Daphnia pulex: one gene and its partners. The main gene of each other region encodes a partner of the protein of the gene in region 4 in a complex. Links are inferred from orthologs where the notes say so. Each region holds a gene or a part of one and is shown on either strand. Other genes may lie near its edges. The genes, in order: PCI domain-containing protein 2-like, nuclear pore complex protein Nup107-like, nuclear pore complex protein Nup214-like, nuclear pore complex protein Nup153-like, nuclear pore complex protein Nup98-Nup96-like and E3 SUMO-protein ligase RanBP2-like.

Region 1 (3,837 bases), on a different chromosome or scaffold from region 4:
ACACTGCAACGGCAGTCTCCTACTGTTTCAACGTAGATCAGAGGTGAGTATTTATTTTTGTTCTCTCCCCATGTACTTGATCCGGTTTAATGAGTTTCTTCCGGTCACCTTTATTGGTTTGTAGGGGAAAACAGGTATTCGTTTGTCTAGCTACGGCATCACCGGCGAAATTCCCCGAGGCCTGTGAAGCGGCAGGATTGGACAAGTCGACACACCATAGAGTGGAGAGATTAAAAATGGATACCGAAATTTGTACACCCCGACACGTCTTCCTAAAGGGCCACGATTGGACAAGTCAATTAAAAGATATCATCCTTAAGATTTAGGGGGAAAAAACCGTTGAATATCGTCACAAACAAATTTGAATATTTACCTGAGATTCACTCAGTTTTGGTGTAGAATAGCGTAGTCAGGTGAAACCTAACACAAATATGTAAGACTTTGAAACAAGAAAACAGCTAAAACTATTACTTAATACAAAAATAGGAAGCAAGAAACAATTCGTTCAATAAGAAATTTATTATTTTGTTTCAATTAGTCGCGAAAACAGGTGTGTGTAAGAGATATTAGATCCAACTTATACGATAGCAGCCAGCGATGGGAACGCATTCTGCTTGCTGATTACCAGCTTGTTGTGGCTGTTGGAAATGTACCCTTTGATTTTGTTCTCAAAGATGAGGTTTGCAATGATACCTGCGTTATAAAAAGAAATGGATCAAATTCTATAAAAGCCACATTAATTTATGTAACACTATACATTGCGTCTCGTCCAAGTCTATGTCTTCAACTCCCATGAATTTTAAGGCCTCAAGATAGGCTTCGATCGGGATTTGATGAGTTTTCATGAGCAAAGTTCTGAAAATTATAAATTCAAAAGAAATCATGTCGGCTCATCTTTCAACACCAACAATAAAATCCCTTACACTTTCTTAAACAAGTTTCTGTAGGTGGTGACTTTTAACTTTTCAAGAATCAAATAAACACCGCAGCGAATGAAAAAGGCATCGTGTTGAAGAAGGGCATTGTTGAGTCTCCGGAGATTACCCTCCCTAACAGCTTGCACCACTTCGCTAAACTGTAGAAGGTCATACTTTCTCAGCAATTGGGTTGTAGGAAGATGACCCTTTAAATGAAATGTAATACGTTAAGCATCTTCCTTCCGTTTTCCATCGCATTATGTGTACACAACAAATGAAAGTCATACCAAAAGCATTTTGACGGGAATCAGGTAGATTAAAATCAGTCGTTTGTTGGCGCGGCAGTTCTTGTGACACCGCTCAAACGCGTAGGATAAATATTTCTCAGCTAAATGCGAAATTAAATATAAGAATTGATTATCTTTTAGAAATTTATGTTACTCTGCTCACCGCTTTTGAAATCACTTTCGAAAATGGCCTTTCTGCCGACATAGTATCGGTAAGTCACTTGTTGGCTGAGGGAGAACTGGTCCTTGAACTGGGAGGCATCAATTGCGCGAATAAGAGCCTTACAAAGATGCAATTTGTTTATTCTAAAGTAGATTTTCAACAGCTGGTTGACCAAATACAGCATTCCCCAGCGTTTTGTATCTTCATCAGATGACCGACTGTAAATTCAAACAAAAGAATGAGTACCTAGTTACTACATAAGTCGCAAAATGTTATTTCTTACTTGTCAGCAGCACACACTCTAAAAAGTCCCATGAGGCACTCTGCAGCCTTTTCAAGTGTTTGTCCTGGTTTGTCTGCTCCTTTTTTGGCCAATTCTTTGTCTGCTTTGATTGCAAACATACGCAAATCTAAACTTATGACATACATGATGAATAAAGCCCAGTTGTCTTCCTTCTGTGTCTGAAAGAGCTTTGTAAACGCCTGTACCAAAGCACTTTGCTCAGAGTATGCTTCTAAATACTTTTGCTGGTTGATATAGCTTAAGCATCTAGATGGTAAAATTGAAAGTTGAAACCAAAATTTAAAATTGATGAAAGTTCAACTGTATACCTGAGATGAAGGACAACAATCTCATCAAAAGGAGCTTCCACGATTCTTTCAACAGACTTTTCAAATCCCTCCAAAATAAGTTTGGAGCTCATAACATGTGGGTGATTGAATGACAGGAGTTCCTAAAGGTTTCAAAATAAGAAGACGTGAAGTATTGCATGAGCATGATTTTACAAGAAATTTAATTTTGAATTTCTTACTGAAACTTCAGTTCCACTTCGAGATTGCCATGAAGATTGAATCTAAAATAGTTTAAATAAAAACAATCAACTAAAGATGTGTAAACAATGCATTCTGTTTGTGACGCGCTGTGTTACCTCACGTAAATATTGATTCAAATTCAAGTTAGCCATTTTTTTAGTGTCTTAGAAATGATTTTTCGAGACTAACTTAAAACTGGACATCGGTGGCTTACAGAAATCTAATTTTGGCGAAACACAATTGGATATTATTTGACAGAAAATTTCAATAATCACGCCGACCGGTCGCTTTCGAATTGTTCCTCAGCTCTTCGTCTGCTAGAAACTCTTACGTCATCTAGCGGTAACAAGTTGAATTACATATTTACAATTTCAAATTTTACGCCGCGCTTGTTATCAAAGTTTTTCGATCTCGAAAGGGAGGAAAAACCACAAAGTAAAATAAGAATTATATTATTTTACGACTGAACATGCCGCAACATAAACATAAATAGAATGAGTTGAGAAAGAACTGGTTCCATATCATGCATATCCAACAACTGAGATAATGCATGTGATTTAATCCAACAAAACAATTGACGCAGGACTGTACTGTATAAATGTATAAAACATTGAGTCGGGATTCCAATAACATATAAATTGCACAGAGGAGTTCCAAGTAAAAAAAAAAAAAACAAGGATCAACTACCTCCTGGACAGACTAATTAAAAAGCGTGGCGCCAGTCTAAGATGATTTCATACCTCACTAAGAAGTATGAAGAGAGAGAGTGAACAAACATGTCAAAATGGCTTAAAACTCTTGAGTACATAGATTAGCCGCTCAGCGGGCAGTCCACACACACTGCAGTGTGTGTGTATATAGGCGGGTTTACGCTAAACCCTGTAAAAAAAGATACAGCAGCATCAGCAGCGAATGGTCAATAATAATCAGCTCTACTTTAAGAGTGGACCGAACCACTCGTGTTTCCATTCTCTCCCCCCTCTTTTTCTACTTCCGATCTATTCTTATTTCGGCCTCCCCTGACTACTAGTTTTTCTTTTGTATCATTCGCTTTTAGTCGACAACGAGCCCCAGTGGCCCTATTTTGACAGTCAATTAAATATAGTGCATCACGTGTGCAAATAGTAGGAGGGAAACTTCGTTTCCATACGTTCGCACACGGATTTTCAAAGGTCCAATTTAAATATTTCCCTTCTAGATTTTCGGCTGGATAATTTCCGTATTGCTCCAACATGACTATTCCCGAAAGTGATTCAATTCGACAACGCTCATCTCAAGGTAAATACATTTTCTTTAACACATTTTTCAATGACATGTACATTTTTCTTTGTGACATTCAGACGATACGAATAAAAATCGTACAGAATCTTTATCAAAAGACGATCATGGACATAGTAGTTCGACCAACAGTATTAATGACAGTAGCTTAACCGATGCCGTGTCAAACATTAAAGATGAACTGCAAATGAATCGACGGGTAAGTTTCCTTTGTTCTGTTTTAACAAGTATAATAAAGTTATCTCAGTGGCAAATAATCATAGTACAGCATGCACCCGAGTGGTGACAGACGCATGTAAACAGATAAAAGAAACAACGTTTCGTCTCATTGGTTACATCCAAAAAGACCCTAAAAGATGCTATTTATTATCTAAATATT
Region 2 (4,262 bases), on a different chromosome or scaffold from region 4:
GGGATGCAAGTTTGTCGCAACAACTGTTGTTGCTGTTGTCGGGGAGAATTTTCCTCCTCGAAGGACATGCTATCAACCATCCAGCCTCCGTCAGGAAAAAGTAGGACGTTATACAGTTTGTCAATAGCTGATTGCGTGAGGGAATCGACGGCTGCCTGCCAGCGTTGAATTTCAACTTGATGTTGCTTAAGATGCTGTTCTTTGAGTAAGTTTTCAGTGAATGATAGTTGAGAACTGGCTCCTCCTCGCTGTTGTTGAACGGTAGCTTCTGTTTTCTTGGGCTTGGAGTGATGGAAACGTGTGAACCATTCTTGAAAGGCGTCTAGTGCATCAATGTAAGTCTGGATGCAAAGGTATTCACGGACAGCAGCCTCGACTTCAGTGGGCAAATCCGTCAATCCAGTTCGTGATTCCCATAGTTCGGTCAATATGGCGACTGTGTCGGGTGGAGTCAACTGGAACGTCAGCTTCACAGCTTCAATCTGACGACGGAGAAGGTATCCCCGCATGAGAGTGTTGGCTTGGATAAGCAATTGACTTCGCATTGACGGATCCATTAACAACCAGCTCAGTGAACGTATCCGGCGTTCATCTTCTGCCGTGGTCGCTACCTAAAAGTATTAAACAATTATGAGTACGCTATGCACGAATGCAGATCGAAATCTATATTAATCACCTGTAGAGAAGCATCAGTGACGTGTTGGACCATTCCGCCCTGGTCGCAAAGTTTGATTACAACTTGTTTGGCGATAGCGTTGACATCAAGTCCGACATCCTGGGCCAAAGATAGGAGGCGCCTTCGCTCCTCGTCGTCACAGGATTCTTCCTGTTCCTCTACCATAACGAGGCATTGAGCATACAGGCGAATTTGATCTTCTGGCAAAGGCAATTGTCCAACATAGACAGCCGCCAAATCAGTTCGTCCAAGATTGACAAGTTGTAGAACGTAAGCTTCCAGGATGGATCCGATGGAATCGTCACATGAGCCACGACCGATGCGCCGGAAGAACAGAGCAAGATGGGACATTAGCCGGATCATGTGAGGGCGTAGGTGAACGCTCCAGCTGTCACCTTGTTTCAGCCAAGACGACATTTCTTCAAGTAATCCGTCAACATCATCCATAATAAGGTAGCGCTGTATGATCCTGCATTTCAAAATTTGCTTTGGTAAATTTCGCATTAGACAAATTAAAGAATTAGTCACCTATATTGGTCACGGCCTTGGGCGATCAAAGTCTTATCTCTGGAGGCAGCTAAAGTTGAGAAAATGGACTCGACGGTCAACTGTTGATTCCAATATTCGTCTGGTAGAATTTGAAGTTGCCGTTTATAATTGACACAGCGACGAAGTTCCTTCTCGACACAGTGGTCGATCATGGCACGCAGATGAGCCCACAGTTGATCTTCCCAGGAACGACAGGCAGGTAAAAGGGCTTTCAAATGTCCACAAAGAAGAGCAAAGATTGCGCGCTCTTCCTCCGACAACTGCACATTTTCGCACTCTTTCCAAGTCATCGTCTTCCATATGTCACGATAAGGATTTCCAGATGGCGACTCTACAGTTGAGATAAATATTTTTATCGAATCCATTGGTTTCTACAAATCTGGAAATTACCTTTCGTGTTGGCTACATCCGTGCGAGATTTCATGTTGGGATCATGAAACAGTTTCCATCCTTCCAAAATTGCAGCCCGAAATGGTTGACCTGCTCGGAAACAGAGCTGCTGGGCTTCATCCAGCTGTCCACAACGGAGTCGAGCAAATACAGAACGAAGCAAACGCATTTCATCTTCTTTGTCAAGTGGGTGAAGACGTCTGTTTTGTTCTCGGTTAGGAGCATCGGGATCCATTTGAGTAACCATATTTTGCTCGACGTTATCTGTACTAAGCCCTCGTTTTTTACTGACCAAAGAATGAAGAGTATTTTCCCAGCCGGCAACCGCATCTCCGTAAAACTCCACCTAATTAGAGTATAATATATTATTTAATAAAAGAAAATTTTAATTACATTAAAAAATACCTGGCTGTAATGGGAATCGTGATAGACATCAGCCGCTCGTTGTTCCAGCCAATCGACTACGAGCTGAGCCTGTCTGATTATGGCATTTTTGTCATAGAGTTGTTTTACCAAGTCATCTTCACTTGTAACATCATCCAATCCACTCCAGATTTCATCAGACTCCATTTCACTGTCATGAAATTCAGAGTTTAAACGATCTTGGTAGAGAGATGCAACCAATCTCCATGTGTCACGCTCAAGTCTCAGTTCTTGCTCCAATTCTTGTGCTTGTGATAGTTTGTTGTGTCCACGAGGGGCCATTTGAATCAATTTTCGCAAAGCAGATACTTGTTCTCCACATTCTGACTCATATTCTGCACACTGATTAAACACTTGATGTTCTGCCCCATATGACTGAAATGTTTTGAGGAATCTCTCAAATAGTTCTAAGACATTTTCTACTCCTGGAACTTCTTCTTCTAGAAGGATGCTCATGAGTTCTTCATTTCGTTTCTTTCGTGATACATTGCTCACTGTTAAGTCTGCTCTTGTCGAATCCAGATTTTTCCTTTGTAAACCAGCACCAATTCTCGTAAATGTAGGATCACTTTCGAAAATAGTGTGGCTAAGATCATCAGACATAAAAGACATTGTATTATGTCGGTTAGGAGAAGGGAGGCAACTGGCCCCCAACATGTCTGATGTCTTTTCGAGTGAGTGCTTTATTCTTCGACCAGGAAGATTTAGTTTGCCAGTAACAGTTGAGTTAGAACCGGCAATAATTGGAGATTGAAACTCCATTGTGCTTATTTTAAAAAGATACAATAAAATTCACTGTCTTATAAAGAAGAAGTTTGAAGGTTTGAAGTTTTCCGTTTTTCGTTTTATTGTAACGTAGCAGACTAAGTAAAAGGGCGTTGCAATTCACGTTCAAAGTTTTATTCATTAAAATAATTATAATTAATTGAAATTGAAATAGTAATGATTTGATTTTTATAATTGTTATAATATTTAATACAATTTTATTCTATTTTTTAACTCAATTTTTAAGATTTTATTTCAAACAATTTGAATGTTCACTTCACTTCCTTCCTACCCCTTCCTAGCAGACAAACTTAAGTTTGTTTTTGACTTTTTGACACGTGTGAAAAATTGTCTTTAAAAATCATGGCGAATTTCAATACTAAACGGCCTATGGAAGAAGATAGCAGCGATTCTTCAGAGGAAGAAGAAGAAGAAAATGATTCTCAAGATGAAGAAATGGGTGAAGATGAGCAACTTGGAGAGAACGACCGAGAGATTCAAGTCGACTTTGAAGGTCAATCACCAATCGCTGAAGATTTTCACGGTATCAAGAGTCTAATGCATCAGCTTTTCCTAAAGGCTCATATTAATTTAAGTGGTCTGACGGAACTCATCATTCAGCAAAACTACATTGGAAGTATATTACAGGTAATAAAATCTTGTGAAGATGTAATTTGTGTACTTTACTAAAGATATCTACTTCTTCAGCAATGTGTGGATAATGATGAACCTGATAGTGATGATGAAGGAAATTCTCTTGATGAAGTTTTTGGAATTACTTCTGTAATTAACTTGACACATCACAAGGTGAGATAAAATTTTGAATTTGTGTTACACAAATTACAATTAACCCAATTTTTTTTGTTATTTACTTTTCCTAGGATGTGGAATGTATTAAAGAAGTAAAAAAGTACCTGTTGGAAAAAACACAGAAGAAACTGAGTGGATTGTTTGATGATCCATCTAACCAGATAGGACTTATATTCAATGAAAGGTTCATAAACATACCACCTCAAGTTTCTGTTCCCCTACTGGAAAATCTATGGTATACAAGACTTAATTTGAATTATATCCCAAGTTTAAATGTAAAATTTTGTTAATAGTAAGGAGATTGATGAAGCAAAAAAATCTGGAAAGCCTTTTGACTTTACACACTTCATTTTAATTTCCAAACTTCATGAATCTACAAGAAAAGATCCTGAATCAAGGAAAAAAAAAGTCAAAGGAGGAGCCACCATATTATGGGTTAATGCAGAAGAAGAACCAATTTCAGAGGTATTCATCTATTAATTCCACGCCTAAGTAGAGTAGGTTGTAATAAAATTTCGTCAAATAGATGGGTGAAATATTAGGAGAATATTCTGTACGAAGCGAGTCAGATGCAGCAGTTTCCGGGACATGGGACGAAGATGACGAACAATTCGATCCGAAAAGAAGGATAGTCCTTATTACCGCAAAG
Region 3 (3,930 bases), on a different chromosome or scaffold from region 4:
ACTCAAGCAGGTGCTTGCCAAACTAAAACTTGGTAAATAGGAATTCTGGTCTTCGATAGAAGGCGTGGGTTCAAATCCCACTTCTGACAATCATTATTACAAGGAAATATTTTTGGATGGCACGACGGAGAAACAAGCTGCATACAAACCAGCTTCCTACCCTAGCCCAGCCTATCCTTTCGTACTCCTCATACAAACCTCTGCATACAAGCCCGCATCCATATCTCCGGCTTATCCGAACTACCAAGTAAATATCATATCCTGGCTTCTTGCTATAATTGATACAAATAAAGAAATAAAAGTTTTAAATAAACGATTAGTCAGAGTTTACTAGCAGTAATCTTTTTTCTCCCTGCGTCGCTTAAAAATGAATTTATGCGCTACGGCCGTATGGCGTCGCTGTGTCGCTGTTTCTGAATCTGATCAAATTAAACCAATAATTGTTTATTTGAATAGAAAATTTAAAAAAAAATAATTCCATCTTTTGCGGACTGATAAAGAAAAGGGATCGAGATGAATGAACTACACACAGGTTGGGATGAGGAAGTGAGTCGGATCTAAAGTTTGTCCTAGTTGGATATTCTTTGTCTAATTATGCTAGACTAAGGTTACATGAATTATCATCCAATTGAATCTCTTGAAAAATAATAATGTCCAATCGAGCCAGATTTGAGCAGACCGACCAGAATGTGTAGCCTAATAGATAAGGTGCCAGTTTATCTTACTTATAGATGTTAAGTTATTTAGAAGTTAAGTTAAGTTAATTTTGTTTGTTAATTAGTTCAAAGAGAGACTATTTGCCGTATAAAGAGACCGTGCACCACGATCAGATTTATCGTATATTATATAGTCCCTATTTGTAAATTTATTCCTCGAATATGATTCGTTTGATCGAATGTTTATTGTTTAATCGTTTTGAACAGGGTTTTCAATGAACCAAGTTGATGAAAATATTGTATCTTGCAATTTGGTTGACGTATCACGTAAGCCTTCCCTTTTGAATATCTTAACTCCACTATAGCCCCAAAAGTGATCAGAATTGGAAACACTACCCCTCAGCCCCTACCCTTTCAAAAAAAAGAACCGCGAGTTATTACAATTTAAAAAAATTCAAATTGCTTTGATAGATGGCGTTCACTTGTCACAAGCAGACAGGCAGTGAGGCACTCAAACAGTTAGACATTTCATAAAATTTCGACCGGCTTTGGCTTTGCAACAAAATAAGGTTGAAAGTGCGGTGTGATTTTCTATCCGAATATTACATTGATTATTGAAACTGATAATGGCAAACGTTCCTGATCCTGTTGAAGTCTTGGTAATTTTAAAATACATTTTTTTATTGTTTTCTTTCAATTCAACCAATCTAACTTGTAACAACAGGACTTCAAAATGAAACAGCTGTGTAAGTTTAGAGTCACTAAAAAGGAATATGATGTACAGGACACCACATCATTGCTGGCTACTTCTAATTTGTTTGGTCTGATCTTTGTTGGGACACCTGACAAACTTGTTGTCATCAAAGTTTCAGATCTTATACAAATTGACAATACAACATCAAAAAAATCAGAAATATCATCATTTCCCATCAAGGAAATTCTTTTACCCAACAAACCTAGTTTTGTAACACTGAGCTCTGATAATCTTACCTTAATGGTGTGCCTTCAAAAATCTGGATGCTCAGTAGGTTGGATGTATGATGTTCGTGGATTTGCAAGACAGGTATGATTTAAGGAATTTCATTTTGTGTGATTGAAACAGATTTAAAATCTTTTTCAGTCAGGTGAATGGAATCCCTTCCAGGAAGTCAGGCTTTCGTCTACTGATGGAGTTACTGTGAAAGATTGTGCGTGGAACCCTGTTATACCAACTCTAGTAGCTGTCTGTCTTAGTGATGGCTCTTTAGTTGCAGTGGAGATCAACAACACTCAATTCACTATAAATAGCCTTCCATCAAGTACAGGAGCCCAGTATGTGAATATCCTATTTTGTATGTATGTTATTTTCTTAATTTTATTGAATTATTAGGTCAGTCTGTTGGAGTCCCAAAGGAAAACAGCTAGTTGTGGCCAGGCCTAGTAAACTAGTTCAGTATAAGCCTGATTTAAAGGAAGCCAAGACTATAGCGTTTAGTGGTAGCGATGTCCATATGACTCAGCCAATGGTTTGTGGACTTCAGTGGCTTTCTACAACTCAGTTCCTTGTAACGTTTGTTGATCAAAATGAACCCAATTCTCGTCCCCACCTCTACATAGTCAACGTACAAAAATCGGGGGCAACAACTTTCATAGATTATGACGATGTTTGCTACGGAAGTCCGTCTGAAAGACCACACAGGTATACGAATTTTTTTCATTTTATTATCAATATAATGAATTTTGTTTCTTTTTTAGTTATCTAACATTGAGTTTATCCCCATGGAATGTGTTATTGGCTTGTTCAGCTAACGCAATAGAAGTTGCCGTACTAGCTCAAACAGGAGCTGGAGATGCTGATCACCCTGAATGGAGGCAATGGGCACTAGAAGGTGAATGGCGAGCTGAACTACCATTAAATGAGAATGCTGAGACTAACCCGTTGGGAATGGCCATCGATACCACTAGCCAAATTCCAATCAGTTGGGATGACAATCAAACTTTACCGCCCGCACCCATTCTTTTCATACTCAGCACTCATGGTCTGCTTTGCCCGTTTCATGTTATCAATCTAAAGAACGGTGCTGCCAAATTCAATCAGGCTCCTCAAGAATTGTCGGTCACTGGTGAGAGACCAGCGCTTAGTGGAATTGGTCTCAAGGCGGCTCCATTAGCAGCTTCCACTCCATTACCTGCTGCTGGTAAAATTGCATTTCCTAGAACAAATCTTGGAGAACGATTTGCTGCATTTGCGGATGCTCCTTCCTTAGCAGTCCCAGTTACAACGAAATTACCTTCAAATCCGCCTATTTCGGACTCGTTTTTGGGCAACAAACCCCAACTTCAACCTGCCTTACCTTCAGTGACGAAAGTTGCAACTGCACCTGTTGTACCAGCTGTGAAGATAGAAGCGGTTCCGGTTGTCCCGAAAGCTACTCCACTTACTGTCAAACTTACAAGTCAAACTCCAATCGCAGATGAATCTAACATCCATTCATCCATGGGCGCTGCCGCTGCAATATTACGTGACGAAGTGGCCAAATTCGTTCAAGACTTGAAGGAATTCAAAGCTCGTTCGTTGACTTTGAAAGTTACGATCGCGAGTGATGAGGAGAAAGAACGATTGTTAAAGATGACATCCGATCTGGCTGAGTTTGGTGTGGATCTGGTCGATACTACCAAAGTGCAAGACGAAGAAGTTCGAGGCTTGTGCACTGATTTGGTAGAAGTTGCCGCCCTTTTGGAAGATGCCCGTGTTCGACGTGCTCGTCGCAAAAATTCTCATTTCTGTCATTTGCTCAAGTTACGGCCTCTAGATCCAGGCAATCGCAGAAAAATGGACGGCATTGAGCGCTTGCACGTTCACATAGAACAGCAGCTTATAGAAGCTTCACGAAGCCTAGATTCGATTAGCAGAGACCGTACTAGAGACACCCGCAAAATTGAAATCCCAATAACTCAGGTAAGCTTGTTTTATTATTATTATTACTCTAAAATATTCAGCATCCTATGATTTATTTCATCTCAGGTTATTTATGAAGCAATTAGAAACAATACGAAAGTAATATCACAGTTAAAATCTCGTGTTGAACGAATTATGGTTCAGAGCAAAGAACAGCAACTGAAACTCGCCGGTGCAGCCTTCGAAGCTTTAAGGTATTTGCCATTCATAAATTCACTTAATTATTGAATTAATTGTGTGTTCTGTAGACCAAAGAGTGGTGATGAGTCAAGAAAATGGGAGTCTGAACTGGCTGTTCTGGCTGATTCTCTTTTGTCGTCAAGTATAAGAGGAGAA
Region 4 (3,971 bases):
ACACAGAACATTCCCATTGAGCGGCGGTCATTTTAAATTGATCACCGAATCCTTTTGTTGGAGGCGCAACAGGAGCAGCAGCAGCAGCAGGAGCAATAGGCATTGCTTTTACTGCATTGGGGGCTGGAGATTCGCATGCCACACACGAAGATTTGTCCTTGGAATTGGGAACGCAACAGACAGAACATGTCCAAGAATCGGTAGGTGCCTTGAATTTATCTCCAAATCCTGAAAGAACCGGTGGTGACTTAATAACTGGCTCCAAAACGGGCACAGCTTCTTGACTTTTCCCTCTGAGAACATCAAGGACACTTCCAGATTTCAATTCCACTTCTGCGGGTTTAGTTGGAGTCTCCTTCTCTGGTGTTTTTTTCGGAGAAGCGTTGACGAGCAATGGGGAGCTGAAGTTGAAACTGAGCGGCTTCGAACTGACGGCTGCATCTACCTTGTACGGACTGACGGTAACCAACGGTGCTGAAAACGTGAAAGCTGGACGAGGTGTTGAGGTACTCGTCATTGAAGAACTAACCAATCCATTGGAACTCATTACTGCTGCTGTTTTCACTGAAGTCTTCGTCGATACAACAGTTGCTTTTTCTACCACCGAGCAAGGAGGTAGCAAGTTGAAACTAGGTAGACCTGCTATACTAATGGGCATTGGCACAGCAGTGAGCTCCTCCGACTCTACATCTTCATCCTCTCGAATACGAGGAGCCGATTTGCGAAGTGGTGCTGACATCCTCATTCGCATCTTGCCACCAACCTGGGCACTGATGGGGGTGCTCGATACTAGTGCTGGTTCTATTTGAGACAAGTTTGCTGGAGCTGGTCGGGTGACAATCTGTGCCGGAGTACCGACAGATAATTTGGAAGTTGGAGGTCCCAAATTTGGACGTCGGCGACTCAAACCAAACCCTTTAAACACAAAGCGAAATTATTATAACGTTAAGCAATTCATAACTTTTATCAATTTACCAGTGAACGAAAGTTCTTCGCCTTGTAAAGAAGTGGATCGTTTACTGTTGGATGCAGCAGGAATCCTTTTTGCATCTCTCACTGGTGTTGACATGGCTTCGAGTGCTTGAAGGATTCGTTGCGCTGAACTACTAAGTACAACATTTGACGAACTGGTAGAAGCAACAGAACTCGAAGTGGATGGAGCTGAAGACGCAGGCCTAGCCTGAATTCGACTTCGCACGTATGGGAATAGTGCAGCTGAAGGTTGTAAAGTGGCACGGCGATAAGCTGAAGCACCACCGTAAGTCGTCTTACCAGCATAAAATGGTGAGTCTACAACACTCTCGTTCATTAAAGACCGCCTAGCCTCCTGTTGGAAGTAATAAAAGAATAGAGTCCAGACTTTGTTAGTAAATTAAATTCAAGACTTACAGCAGCCGTAGGTCCAAATGAAGTTATATTGAAGCGTGGTCTCTTGCTTCCATACGATGAAAGTTGAGGTTGGGAAAGGTCTCGCTTGGCAGCTGAACGATTGAGTGAAGTGTCGTCTTTGTCGAAAAATGAGCCACTAGCCTCTTCTACAAATCAAAAACAATACATTAGACTCATTTGTAAGCAAAATTCTTGACTACAAAATGATGAAAATGTCATTAGAAATCTACCTGTATCCTTGTGGAACCTTGATTCTTCTGTGGGAGTTATACCTGAACTTGTATCATGACCAAAAGTATGAAGGCTGAGAGTTTTGCGTCCACGGCTATTTTTTAGGTCAACTGCTAGGGACTTGCTCAAAGAGCTTCCAATGATTTGCAGTGAAGATTGATTAATAGAGAGAGGTTCAGCAACTCCCAAACTTGATAGTTCTATATTTCTGCTCTCCCTCTTATGCTCGAGATGTGGTAACAATGAGGAACATCCGCTAGTTGACTCTGAGTTGGAGTCATCATCACCTGTCAGAGGAAATGAGATGTGAGATGTCATAAAAGTTTGAAAATCAGTGTTTAATACAAACCATTTGTTTGAACGATTTGTTCTCTTGAACTTGATTCAACCACTACTGGCTCTGGAAGTAAGTCCAAAGAAGGGACATTTGGACGAGCTCTTACTGCAAGTCAAACAAAAAAAGAAGCATGTGTTACACAGTTTGAAGGGAGCAGAACATTGATGAAAAAAACTTACTGTTGCTTTGTTCTTTGGATGTCCCAGGTGGTCTGCGAAATATGAAGGACTCTCTTTCAACACCTTCTCGGTGGGAGCTGTTACCATTGCTGGATGAACTGGTTGACGGCACAGGTTGTTCTTCCTCAACTTCATCATTTTCACTATCTTCTTTTTTAGCTGATGTAGATTGTAACCAATTCACCAGCCAAGAAGGTTGTGGTAACAATCCAGTAACTGAATCTGTTACTCGCCTCAAAATCGACTGATAGACAAAAAGCCGGATATAGTTGGGGTTTCACAAACTCACACAAACGTATTTTAGTCTTACCTTGGGCCTTTCGTATGGTTTTGAATTTTTGCTCCGCCTTGCCTTGACTTTACCTAAATTATCTTCCCACATGACTGTTTTAGAAATTATCAATCAATACGGAAATCAGATACTGTTGCAAGAAAACAGCTTTAACCCGTCGCACCACGACCCACACGCGGCGAGGAAAAAAGTGCCGAGAAAAGATGGCGGATTTTTTTTAAGTTTAGAAAGATCTGATTGGCGGTTACGAGAAACAAATGAAGAACGATGTTGCTCAAAGAACTTATAAATTTATCAGTAGAGGGCGTTTGTGACGGGCTATAGTTTGGCTCCAGCGGAACCCTTCTCGACCATTCTCGATGAATCAACCGATCGAACTAAAAGAAATTGCCTAATTCGCATGCGGTAACCCCCTCCCCCCATGCATGAAATTAATTTTCATTTTGGCTAGCGCTGTTACATAAAACAGCCACTAGTAATGTGTGCTGCAAATATAGGTATCACGCTGCGCCATGTAAAAAAAAACGCAAGTTCTTTAATGCAGTAGTGCAGTATTACGTAAAAGTATGATCAGTATGATTGCATAATCTTAGAACTTGCACCCATTTTTTTCTGATTTTCGTTCTTTTAGTCAACGGTACAGATTATTCATTTTCAAAATTCTTTTTTTTTCTTCCACACATGATAAAGAGTCAGCAAGAGATAAGCTCCTGATTTTATTTGAAAATAAATACAAATAACCGTTAAATGAAAAATAATGAAATAAAAAGCTGAACCGTGTACAATGTAGAAGGGGGAAAAAAAGAGTGAAAGACAAAGAAAAATAGTTTTGACTGCAAACCCACAAATGAATAACAAAAGAAAAATCGTGATAGCGTGCTTGAATATTAAGTTAAATGACACAAAAACTAAATTAAATAGATATGAGACAATCTCATTTCAAATCTCAACATATCAAACAGGGCATTATAGGAAAAACAAAATTATTGGGGTCCTGTGCTTCGTTGATCTGCGTTTTCTTTGTTGGGACCAACGGTGTCATCTTGAGACCCTTCAGAAAGCAATTTCATCATATTGGAAGCAGCCTGTGCAAAGAATTAACAAAAAGAACATCAATTAAATAATTAACTTAAGCTGATTGCCAAAATATAGTCAAGTTATGATTACGTTATCATGGGCTTCTTCCAAAGTGGCACCAAGTCCGTGCGACACTTGCGGAGGATTTGTATTCAAGGTCACAAGGCTAACGAAATCTCCTTTCTTGCCCTAATAATATTACATTAATTCCAACAGTAAATTAAAATTAGTTTTTAAAATGTTTATTACCTTTGGAAAATCGGAAAACTCGACCTCGTATTCCAGTACTTGGGCCAAGTACCTTAGACGTATTTCCGGGCGCAACCCTCCAGAAGTCTAAAGATTAAGTAATAAATATATGATTTTAAGAAGTGTTGGCAGAGGCATAAGAAAAACATGCCTTGGGCGGACGAGACGATTGAGTAGTTTCTTTAATTCCAGTGGCATTCGATGAATCGGTTATGAA
Region 5 (3,969 bases), about 8.0 Mb from region 4:
AAAACAAAGTGTAAGGGTCAAAGGGGAAATTAGATCTTAGATCAGAGGGGTAACCCAAATGCTCGTTTGAAAGTGTGTAGAGTTTAATTTTAACAGAATTTAAGCTTCCTATAACTTCTTCTAGTTGCAAGATTTCATACGGTAAAGTTTGGATCTTTTTTGTGTCTTTGGCTGTAGCTTTTCTCTTTAATTTTGAGCCAAACTTTCTAAACTTCAGTGGAATTGGTTCTGTGATAAGATCTACATCTCCTTTGTGATGTTTTTTTCGGTGATTTCTTCTTATCTTGGAGCCAGGTGTTTGATTTTCATCATTTTCATTACCATTCCTATAGAGAGTAGAGAGAAATGTGTTTTATTAGAAAGTAAAACATTGTACAGTACATGATTTTAGTTACCCATTCGAACTTAAAAACTCAATCACTTCTTGGAGAAGAAGCCAGAGCTGCTCAACTTTCTTGCTATAGATTTGTGCACTATTCTGTACAACCATAGCAGCCTTAGCAAAATCTAGCTTCATTTGCTCCCCGTTTACATTAACTTCAATCCGCAAATCTTGAATATACTGGACATATTCCTCCAATTTATCAGCTATATTCAGCTCCCAACATCCTTGTTTAGTAAGCTCTCGAATTGGCTTAAGAAGAGCAGCAAATTGAGAACTGAAAACATCATCTTCTTCAACAGAACTCCCACTCGAATTCGCAAGACCAGGGCCCATTGTTTAACACGACTGCGAAACTTATTACAACAAAAAATATCTCGAATCTTTAACTATTTCAGAAAAAGAAGAACATTTTTCATATTGAAAAATAAACTGTCAGCCACTTTGCCTGAACAAACAAGAAAACACAACAATTCAAAAATTGAATTTTGGAGTAAACGTAAGTGTTGCGTTTAGTTCTGAAGTACAAGGCCCACTATGCAACTAAATCAAGGGTCAAACTTTGGTGGCCATGTACGTAGCGCCACCTATAATGACTCTCAGTGTTTAGATTTTTGCGAAAACTAACCAAAACTCTTTAATTTTGCAACAATCAAATTCTAATTAAAATATTTTACACCTCTTAAATTTCGTGTCATCATAGTGTAAACATATTGAATTGCTAAATGCAAGTTAATGAATACTAACCGCTGGAAGACGCAGTCAAACGGCCTTCTTTCTATTCTCATTCTTGTGCGCCGCAACTGCTTTTTGCCTTTCGTAATTCGTATGAGCACCGTCTTGCCTTTTCAACGTTTCATTGAATTGTCAGCAAGTTCATACGACTCCCGCGTGCTGAGATTACTGTTGTGTTCTAAAAACTTGTGTGACGACCGCTAGCCATTGTAAGTTCAAATTGTGAGTTCTCCGAGATTAAGACTTCTGTGGTGTTGCATTTCGTACTCCATAAATATTGGGAGACATTTTTGACATTTTCTTTTTTACTTAGCTGCGGAGTGTGCCGGCTTCTTCAATGATACATCTTTAAAAATGTTTGGACAAAATAGACCCACTTTTGGAGCCCCAACATCAAATACTTTTGGTAATGCATCCAGACAATTATTATTCTTTACCATTGCATAAGCATATTTCATGTTTACAAATGTATCTTATCTTGTCATTACGTCACCATTTAAATTTCAACATTTTTTGTTTGCCCTCCATTGTTTGTTGCATTTAGGCGGTTTCGGTACAAATACATCAACAGGATTTGGGCAGTCTTCGTTTGGGGCAAAGCCAACTGGAACGGCTGCACCAACTTTCCAATCTACAGGTTTTGGATCAAATACCTCGATGTTTGGAAGCACAGGTACTACAACAAGCCAACCCTCGGGAGGTTTGTTTGGTACACCTACTGCCACTTTTGGAGCAGCACAACCTACAGCAGGATTTGGAGCACCTGCAACTAATACTGGCTTTGGAGGTATTTTATGTTTTATAGTTACATTTCATCAAACAGTAGATATCTTTGATGAACTTCATTAATTTGCAATCAAAGAGCACTTAATCATGTTGTTGGTTTTGTAACAAAAGGATTTGGTGGTGGGACTTCAGGGGGGAGCTTATTTGGAGCCCCTGCTGCTTCAACTGGTATGTTTGGATCTAATACCCAACAAACTGCCCCTTCAACTGGTACAACTGGCATGTTTGGAGCAGCCACCAATACAGGATTTGGAGCTCAAGCTAAACCTACATTTGGCTTTGGAGCAACTAGTACCTCCAGTAGCTTGTTTGGACAACCCCAATCCCAGCCCACTCAAACCACCTCACTTTTTGGACAGCCCACAGCACAAGCAACGCCGTCAACGGGTACTGGTTTGTTTGGGACATCATCTTTTGGTAACACAATTGGGGGATTTGGTGGTACTGGTGGAGCCATTACTGGTACCCCAGTAAAATTCAGTCCTCTAACAGGGACAGACTCTATGGTATAATATTTATTCATACACATATTTTTCTCTATGAATTATAATTTTCATTTTGTGGTCTTTAGATGAAAAACAATGTCCAAACGACAATAAACACACACCATCAGTGTATAACATGCATGAAAGAATATGACAATAAATCTTTGGAAGAACTTAGATTTGAAGACTACTCTGTAGGACGGAAAGGACCGACCCCGGGAACCGCACCACAAACTGGAGGATTATTTGGTGGGACCACTACGACTACCCAATCAACTCCGTTATTTGGACAAACTCAACAGACGCCCCTTTTCGGAACACCAGCACCCAGTAAGTATTTTTCTTGTGTATGATGAACAAAAGAGATAATTCGTATGTATTTAGCTATGGGACAGCCGAGCTTATTTGGACAGCCTCAACAGCAACAAGCTCAACCTTCGGCCTTTGGAGCAAAACCCATGGGGTTTGGTCAACCTGCTACTTCCACTCAATCATCATTTGGTTTCGGGACGCCTGCACCTCAACAGCAACAACAGCAGCAACCCAGTCTCTTCGGTCAGCAACAACAAAATAAACCTTTTGGCTCATCGATTTTCGGTCCCCAATCTACGAGCCAACCCACTCCTGCTTTCGGGACACAAACACCCGCTCCCGCATTTGGATTTGGTGCCCCACAACAGGTAATGATAATATTTTTATTTATTCCTTTTTATTTGAGATTGTTTCCTACTTATCGTTTTCTTTTTATTTCTGATTATTGCAGACCAGTCAAAGCTTTTTCAACACTCCAAAGCCAGCAATGGGAGTTCAGACTTCAACAGCAGGTTTTGGTTTTCCTCAAACGACAACCACTCAGTCCGCTGGATCCAACATCTTCGGTGCGAAACCAATAACTGGTTTTGGAGCGACACCTACCCCTGCATTTGGAACTACTCCCGCTCAAACAACGACGCCAGCGTTCGGTGGATTTGGTACATCAGGTTAGATCAGGAAATTGTTTTTGTTGTTTGTTTGTGTTTGCACCAAAAAAAATTTCGACTGTATTTTTTATAGGTACTACTGGAACTGGGTTGTTCACACCTGGACAAACGGCTTTTGGAGTCAAACCAGCCGGGCAAACATTTGGTGCGGTGACATCAACTCCGTCGACTCTAGGATTCGGTCAAAATACAATGTTCGGCGGGGCATCGGCTGCAAATGCAAAGCCCAGTCCATTTGGCGGTACTCCCTTTGGAAGTTCTGGCTTTGGCACTACACCTAGCTTTGGAACAGCTACTGGTGGGATGGGTACTGGCGCTCCCGGTTCACTCTTTGGGAACACAAGTATTGGAGCACCCTCAACTTCAATGTCTTTCGGAACGACGCAGCCTACTACTGGAACTAGCAGTTCCCAGTTGCCTATTCATCAGTATATCTTGACGCTAAGTGAGATTTCTCAGTCTAGTGATCATCCTCTCTTCCGGAAAATGCTGGAACCGTCAGGTAAGCCACTTCGAATGAACACAGTTGAACGCATTTCATTCATTAATTGTTTCATTGCGTTTTCAGGAAAAACAGAAGAATTGATCAAATCAAGCGCCC
Region 6 (4,134 bases), on a different chromosome or scaffold from region 4:
GGTTAGACTGCCTAACTTAGTCTCGACCTTTTCAATGACTTCTGAAAGTTTTTGATCTAGTGGATGGAAACGCTCCATTCCAGGACTACGAAGGCGATCCAGTGTGATGTAGAACGCGTCTCTTGATTTGTTCAACAGTACATTGGCTGCTGATCTTGATTCGTACACGGTTGCTCCCTTGCGTAACTCTTCTTCCGCAATCTCTTTGAAGAGGAGCCCTTGGTAATATGAAGCGTACGGATCAGAGATCGCCTGTAGAAGACGAAGTGCTTCTTCACGTCGACCAGAACGCCACAACTGGTATCCAGAGAAAAGTTTCGCCTCTGATATTAGGCCGTCAATATCAGCATCTACTGAGCGAAACTCGAATAGTCGTCCTAGTGCGAGAGATTTGATACATTGATAAAGCTACTTGCGTTTAGAGATTAGACAATGATTTTTATAGATTACTTACCAGATAAAGGGGGAGTGTATCTATTTCCTGTATTAGCCATTTCAAGAAAGATTTTCCAATAACGAGTCGCCTGACTTTCAAGGGCCTCTGTTTGTTCAACTGTCATCACATCTGTGGAGATAGGTGCAGGTACGTCAACGGCAGGGAACACGCGGCTTTTCCCAGCCCTGGCCACAAATGTTCGAGCGAGCTTGGCCACGAGTTCCAGTGGAATCCCATGTTGGTTTCCAGACAGACGGATGACCTCCAAACCTCGTTGCAGAGTACGGCGCAGCTCACTTAAATTTTCTTTAGCCGATCCCGAGATAAGTTTGATGGCAGATTGCCACCAGGCCGACTGCTGGTCTGTGCACAGCGATTTTGTCAATGCAGCAGGCACCGTTCCAAACACCTTCGAATCGTTTTCCTCCAAGGAGACGGTGCTGTAAATTGAAGCATACACGAATGACTCCATGTCTAGCGCAGAAAGAGTCTCAGGTGCGCAGGAATTCCAGGACGCTGAAGAGAATGGGATATCGCGCATGAAGCGTGAAGATGTCAAGATCTGACTGAGATCTGATGCAAAGTCAGTTTCATTCAGTCTGCGATGCATGGTAAAGTATCTTAAGCCCAACCAGACCACTGGATGTAATTCGTTAGAATAGAGCTGGAGGGCGGTTTTATCAAGTTCAAGCAAATCAGCAAAAGAAGGTAATTCCAGTTGTTCCTTGGGAAATTGAAATTTTTCTCCGAAATAAGGGCGCGTTGAGGCGCCACCGAAGACGGTTTCAAACATCTTGCGTCGTCCGTCAGGATTGTCACACCTCTTGACAGTGTCCACCACCCATTTACGACCTTCTCTGCTTTCCCAGGCGACGATGCAATGGCCACATTGACTCTGACGGTATCTGGCAGTCACAATGGTTGAATCTAGAAGTTTTTTGTCGCCAAACTGATTGGGGGTTCCAGTTGTACCCTGGTTGTAAGCGATGGTGAAGAGAGTAGCAGCATAGCTCAGGGCTTGGTACTCATCTTCGAGGCCGGCTAGAGCTTTCAGAAGAACGACTAAACCAGCTTGAAAGTACAACTGACACGTAAAGTGTACCAGAATATCTCGCTGAACGCCGTTTTCTTTCGCTAGTTGTAAAGTGACGTCCAGTGATTGCAAGGTCGGTAGTACCTCACCGATAGATTGGGCTGATTTAAGGCCTTTACCAACTCTAGAAATCTTAAGAAACGATAGTCGGTCTACAGCATTCAAGTAGTGGAAGTAGAAATCAGGCCCCACTTTGTGGTCCAAAAGCTTCTTGTAGGATTCAAGGACATTCAGAGCACAATTGTACCAGTCTAGCTCTTGACTAAATACTTGAAGGGATTCAATCTTGAGCATATGTTCATAAGCTTCCTTGACTCTGTTTGAATCAAGATACAACTTTAAAAGGTGGATACGAAGCTTCATGTCACCTGGTTTGCTGAGCATTTCATTTTTCAGTTGATCTTCCACTGCTCCTTTTACTTGGGAATTTGATGACAGCATTAGCCTCTGTCTCAGCTCAAACACTACACTGTGCTGAGGCTGCAATGCTTCAGCTCTCTCCAACCAGCATTGCTGAAGATCTCTGTTGGCTGGGCTGGTGGGTAACTCACAAACCAAACTGCAGATCTTGAAAACCAAATCTCGTTGACTGCTATCAATATCAAAAGATCTTTTGTATGATCTGACAGCTGCCTCTTTTTCACCTAAAGACTCTGCAATTTGGCCAGCCAGGCGATGGCCTGGAGCTGAACACTCCTTAATTGCAAGATATGAAGCTAGATATTGTTTGGCTATCTTGTGTTCTCCAATTTGATGATAAGACTTGGCAAAGTTGAAGCCAAGGAGTTTTCGCTGTAAGAAAAATATAAAAAAGTTTTCATTACACATCATTTGTAGGCACAAGCAATTATTTTGATAAACTATACTAAAATATTGACACAGTGTGCAACATAGACAGTCAGAGACGAAATAAGTATCTGGAAATTCAATACCGCAATACTCAAAGGTCAACACGAAACTGTTATCGACTAAATTTTAAACCGGCTTCTCTAACTTCGTGAAAATCAACCTGAGTTAAGAAACGTTGATGCTCACCTCATTTTCGTTGTTCACTTTCTTCTGTAGATCTTGAACATGTTTGTCTACGTCTTTCTTGGTTCGAAGCATTTTTCTTTTAAAAAATTATCGCTTCGATCATCACACAACTCGAATTACTAAATCGGCCACTTGACAATTTACTGGATTTCCGATTGAATATGGAGGAGCTAGTGGTGGCGCAATAAACTCTCTAGTTTCCCTCGTGTGGTAGGATCGTCGCTGTTGCCAAGTCGCCATTAAGTCAATCGAGCCCTGTTCCCTCCGAATTTATTCAAATTCTTTTCTATTGCCAGATTGCTTTAAATATGTACAAAAGCATTTGCGCGCGATTTTGTTTTCGACAATGACTCACTCATTCGATGACAATGACAAAAAAACTCGCTCTGAAATCTTGGAAAAAAATAGTGATTCATTTTGCGTAAAAGACTAGTGCAATTATACAATCAGTACCAATAAAACCAAGCTAGCTACATCAGATATAAATAGAGATAAAGGATGTCGAATAATATTAAGGTCCTAAAGCTAAATGCATTGATAACATGGTCCGCTAATCGGAATGGCTTGGAGTCTAGCCGTAAATATTTGATTTCTCAACTTGTGTCTCGTTCCCGAACCTTAAAAATATAACCAGACGTATCCCTTCAACTAGTTATTGATCAGGCCTTTGGAAACGTGCCAGATAATTCGCCTTCACCAATGAGTGAGAAATTTTTTTCTCTTAGTGCCAAGTAATCAGTGAATTGGCAAGGAATCACAATCTTTTATCTTCATATAGTGGGCCTATAGAATTCGTTTTCACTTGATATTTTTTCGTTGAAAATAATAAAATTTACGAATAAACGACAATGAAGTGTAATTCTAACTTAACAAAATATGCACATCCACAATAAAAAACAATTCACACATCGATTAATTTCTGCAAATTAAGGCATAAACTTTGAAATTTAGTCGGGTCTTTCTTAATGAGCAAGGGATTACGCTGGAACCAGGCTTCCGTCATCGAACGAATGTCGCTTTTAACGCGTTGGTTGTTGGACGCCAAAGAGATCAGGGCAGTGACGGCCATTGTAGACGAAGCAATATCGACATTGGCTGCATTGCCCGTTAAAAGGCGCACAAAGAGAGGAAGAACGTTACTGGCCGATAACAAAGGGCTTTTGTAAATGTTGTGGAAAGCCATGTTACGTAAAATGGATAGGGCGTGCTTGTCGGCGCCGTAAGGATGTGATACCACGTCCACAAGGGTTTGGGCAACTCTGCTATCCATCAAATCCGGCAGAGACGGTTCCGGGAAGACTGTCAGAGCGGAGAGAAGGCGAGCTCGAAGACGAATTAGCGATGTCAGAGCCCCGTGCTGCTGACGGTTGATGATCCTTTTAAGATAAACCGGATGCCAAGTTTGAGCTAAACTGTTCCAGTACTTGTATTTGGCAAGGATCCGGCGACATTCAAGAGAAGAAACGGAAGCTAGAAGCAACTCGTGGATAGCCTCGATGATATTCCAATCCTCGTCGCTGATTGGCGTCGTTTGGCGAGCTACTAAAGCTTCCTTTTCTTCCAAATAATC

What was found.
Region 1: nuclear pore complex protein Nup153-like (region 4) and PCI domain-containing protein 2-like share a complex: the UniProt entries of both Drosophila melanogaster proteins name them as parts of the nuclear pore complex. The link is inferred for Daphnia pulex from reciprocal best matches to the Drosophila melanogaster genes Nup153 and PCID2.
Region 2: nuclear pore complex protein Nup153-like (region 4) and nuclear pore complex protein Nup107-like share a complex: the UniProt entries of both Drosophila melanogaster proteins name them as parts of the nuclear pore complex. The link is inferred for Daphnia pulex from reciprocal best matches to the Drosophila melanogaster genes Nup153 and Nup107.
Region 3: nuclear pore complex protein Nup153-like (region 4) and nuclear pore complex protein Nup214-like share a complex: the UniProt entries of both Drosophila melanogaster proteins name them as parts of the nuclear pore complex. The link is inferred for Daphnia pulex from reciprocal best matches to the Drosophila melanogaster genes Nup153 and Nup214.
Region 5: nuclear pore complex protein Nup153-like (region 4) and nuclear pore complex protein Nup98-Nup96-like share a complex: the UniProt entries of both Drosophila melanogaster proteins name them as parts of the nuclear pore complex. The link is inferred for Daphnia pulex from reciprocal best matches to the Drosophila melanogaster genes Nup153 and Nup98-96.
Region 6: nuclear pore complex protein Nup153-like (region 4) and E3 SUMO-protein ligase RanBP2-like share a complex: the UniProt entries of both Drosophila melanogaster proteins name them as parts of the nuclear pore complex. The link is inferred for Daphnia pulex from reciprocal best matches to the Drosophila melanogaster genes Nup153 and Nup358.

The regions. Positions count from the first base shown.
Region 1 is NC_060025.1:7,985,721-7,989,557, reverse strand, and holds PCI domain-containing protein 2-like, read right to left. Parts: upstream 2,507-3,837; 5' UTR 2,333-2,506; coding exon 2,297-2,332; intron 2,222-2,296; coding exon 2,180-2,221; intron 2,102-2,179; coding exon 1,980-2,101; intron 1,918-1,979; coding exon 1,651-1,917; intron 1,586-1,650; coding exon 1,368-1,585; intron 1,306-1,367; coding exon 1,205-1,305; intron 1,124-1,204; coding exon 924-1,123; intron 856-923; coding exon 758-855; intron 694-757; coding exon 578-693; 3' UTR 501-577; downstream 1-500. Other genes in the region: threonine synthase-like 2, read left to right, coding at 1-43, 125-326; b(0,+)-type amino acid transporter 1-like, read left to right, coding at 3,413-3,458, 3,521-3,657. UniProt on the Drosophila melanogaster protein: Required for the export of nuclear mRNAs and involved in mRNA trafficking in the cytoplasm.
Region 2 is NC_060019.1:10,133,856-10,138,117, forward strand, and holds the start of nuclear pore complex protein Nup107-like, read right to left. Parts: upstream 2,801-4,262; coding exon 2,021-2,800; intron 1,962-2,020; coding exon 1,616-1,961; intron 1,557-1,615; coding exon 1,205-1,556; intron 1,146-1,204; coding exon 677-1,145; intron 612-676; coding exon 1-611. Other genes in the region: protein BCCIP homolog, read left to right, coding at 3,167-3,451, 3,512-3,610, 3,685-3,848, 3,907-4,078, 4,140-4,262. UniProt on the Drosophila melanogaster protein: Plays a role in nuclear pore complex (NPC) assembly and maintenance. Required for nuclear import of Mad. Mediates the association between the nuclear pore complex and a subset of active chromatin regions adjacent to lamin-associated domains.
Region 3 is NC_060027.1:5,448,498-5,452,427, reverse strand, and holds the start of nuclear pore complex protein Nup214-like, read left to right. Parts: upstream 1-1,130; 5' UTR 1,131-1,282; coding exon 1,283-1,315; intron 1,316-1,380; coding exon 1,381-1,719; intron 1,720-1,776; coding exon 1,777-1,967; intron 1,968-2,025; coding exon 2,026-2,334; intron 2,335-2,390; coding exon 2,391-3,594; intron 3,595-3,660; coding exon 3,661-3,788; intron 3,789-3,842; coding exon 3,843-3,930. UniProt on the Drosophila melanogaster protein: Part of the nuclear pore complex. Serves as a docking site in the receptor-mediated import of substrates across the nuclear pore complex including emb, RanGAP and phosphorylated Mad. Protects mbo/Nup88 from proteasomal degradation at the nuclear pore.
Region 4 is NC_060021.1:252,442-256,412, forward strand, and holds the start of nuclear pore complex protein Nup153-like, read right to left. Parts: upstream 2,801-3,971; 5' UTR 2,519-2,800; coding exon 2,447-2,518; intron 2,381-2,446; coding exon 2,137-2,380; intron 2,066-2,136; coding exon 1,970-2,065; intron 1,908-1,969; coding exon 1,620-1,907; intron 1,536-1,619; coding exon 1,390-1,535; intron 1,328-1,389; coding exon 976-1,327; intron 916-975; coding exon 1-915. Other genes in the region: double-stranded RNA-binding protein Staufen homolog, read right to left, coding at 3,412-3,513, 3,596-3,694, 3,755-3,841, 3,906-3,971. UniProt on the Drosophila melanogaster protein: Component of the nuclear pore complex (NPC), a complex required for the trafficking across the nuclear envelope. Functions as a scaffolding element in the nuclear phase of the NPC.
Region 5 is NC_060021.1:8,259,801-8,263,769, forward strand, and holds the start of nuclear pore complex protein Nup98-Nup96-like, read left to right. Parts: upstream 1-1,169; 5' UTR 1,170-1,326; exon of another isoform or gene 1,327-1,339; intron 1,340-1,430; 5' UTR 1,431-1,471; coding exon 1,472-1,523; intron 1,524-1,661; coding exon 1,662-1,904; intron 1,905-2,014; coding exon 2,015-2,409; intron 2,410-2,474; coding exon 2,475-2,718; intron 2,719-2,772; coding exon 2,773-3,068; intron 3,069-3,151; coding exon 3,152-3,368; intron 3,369-3,441; coding exon 3,442-3,870; intron 3,871-3,936; coding exon 3,937-3,969. Other genes in the region: condensin-2 complex subunit H2-like, read right to left, coding at 1-326, 396-718. UniProt on the Drosophila melanogaster protein: Part of the nuclear pore complex (NPC). Required for MAD import as part of the Nup107-160 complex and required for nuclear export of Moe probably via its association with Rae1. Plays a role in nuclear mRNA export.
Region 6 is NC_060024.1:12,886,088-12,890,221, reverse strand, and holds the start of E3 SUMO-protein ligase RanBP2-like, read right to left. Parts: upstream 2,801-4,134; 5' UTR 2,637-2,800; coding exon 2,565-2,636; intron 2,322-2,564; coding exon 455-2,321; intron 378-454; coding exon 1-377. Other genes in the region: uncharacterized protein LOC124199486, read right to left, coding at 3,466-4,134. UniProt on the Drosophila melanogaster protein: E3 SUMO-protein ligase. Component of the nuclear pore complex (NPC), a complex required for trafficking across the nuclear envelope.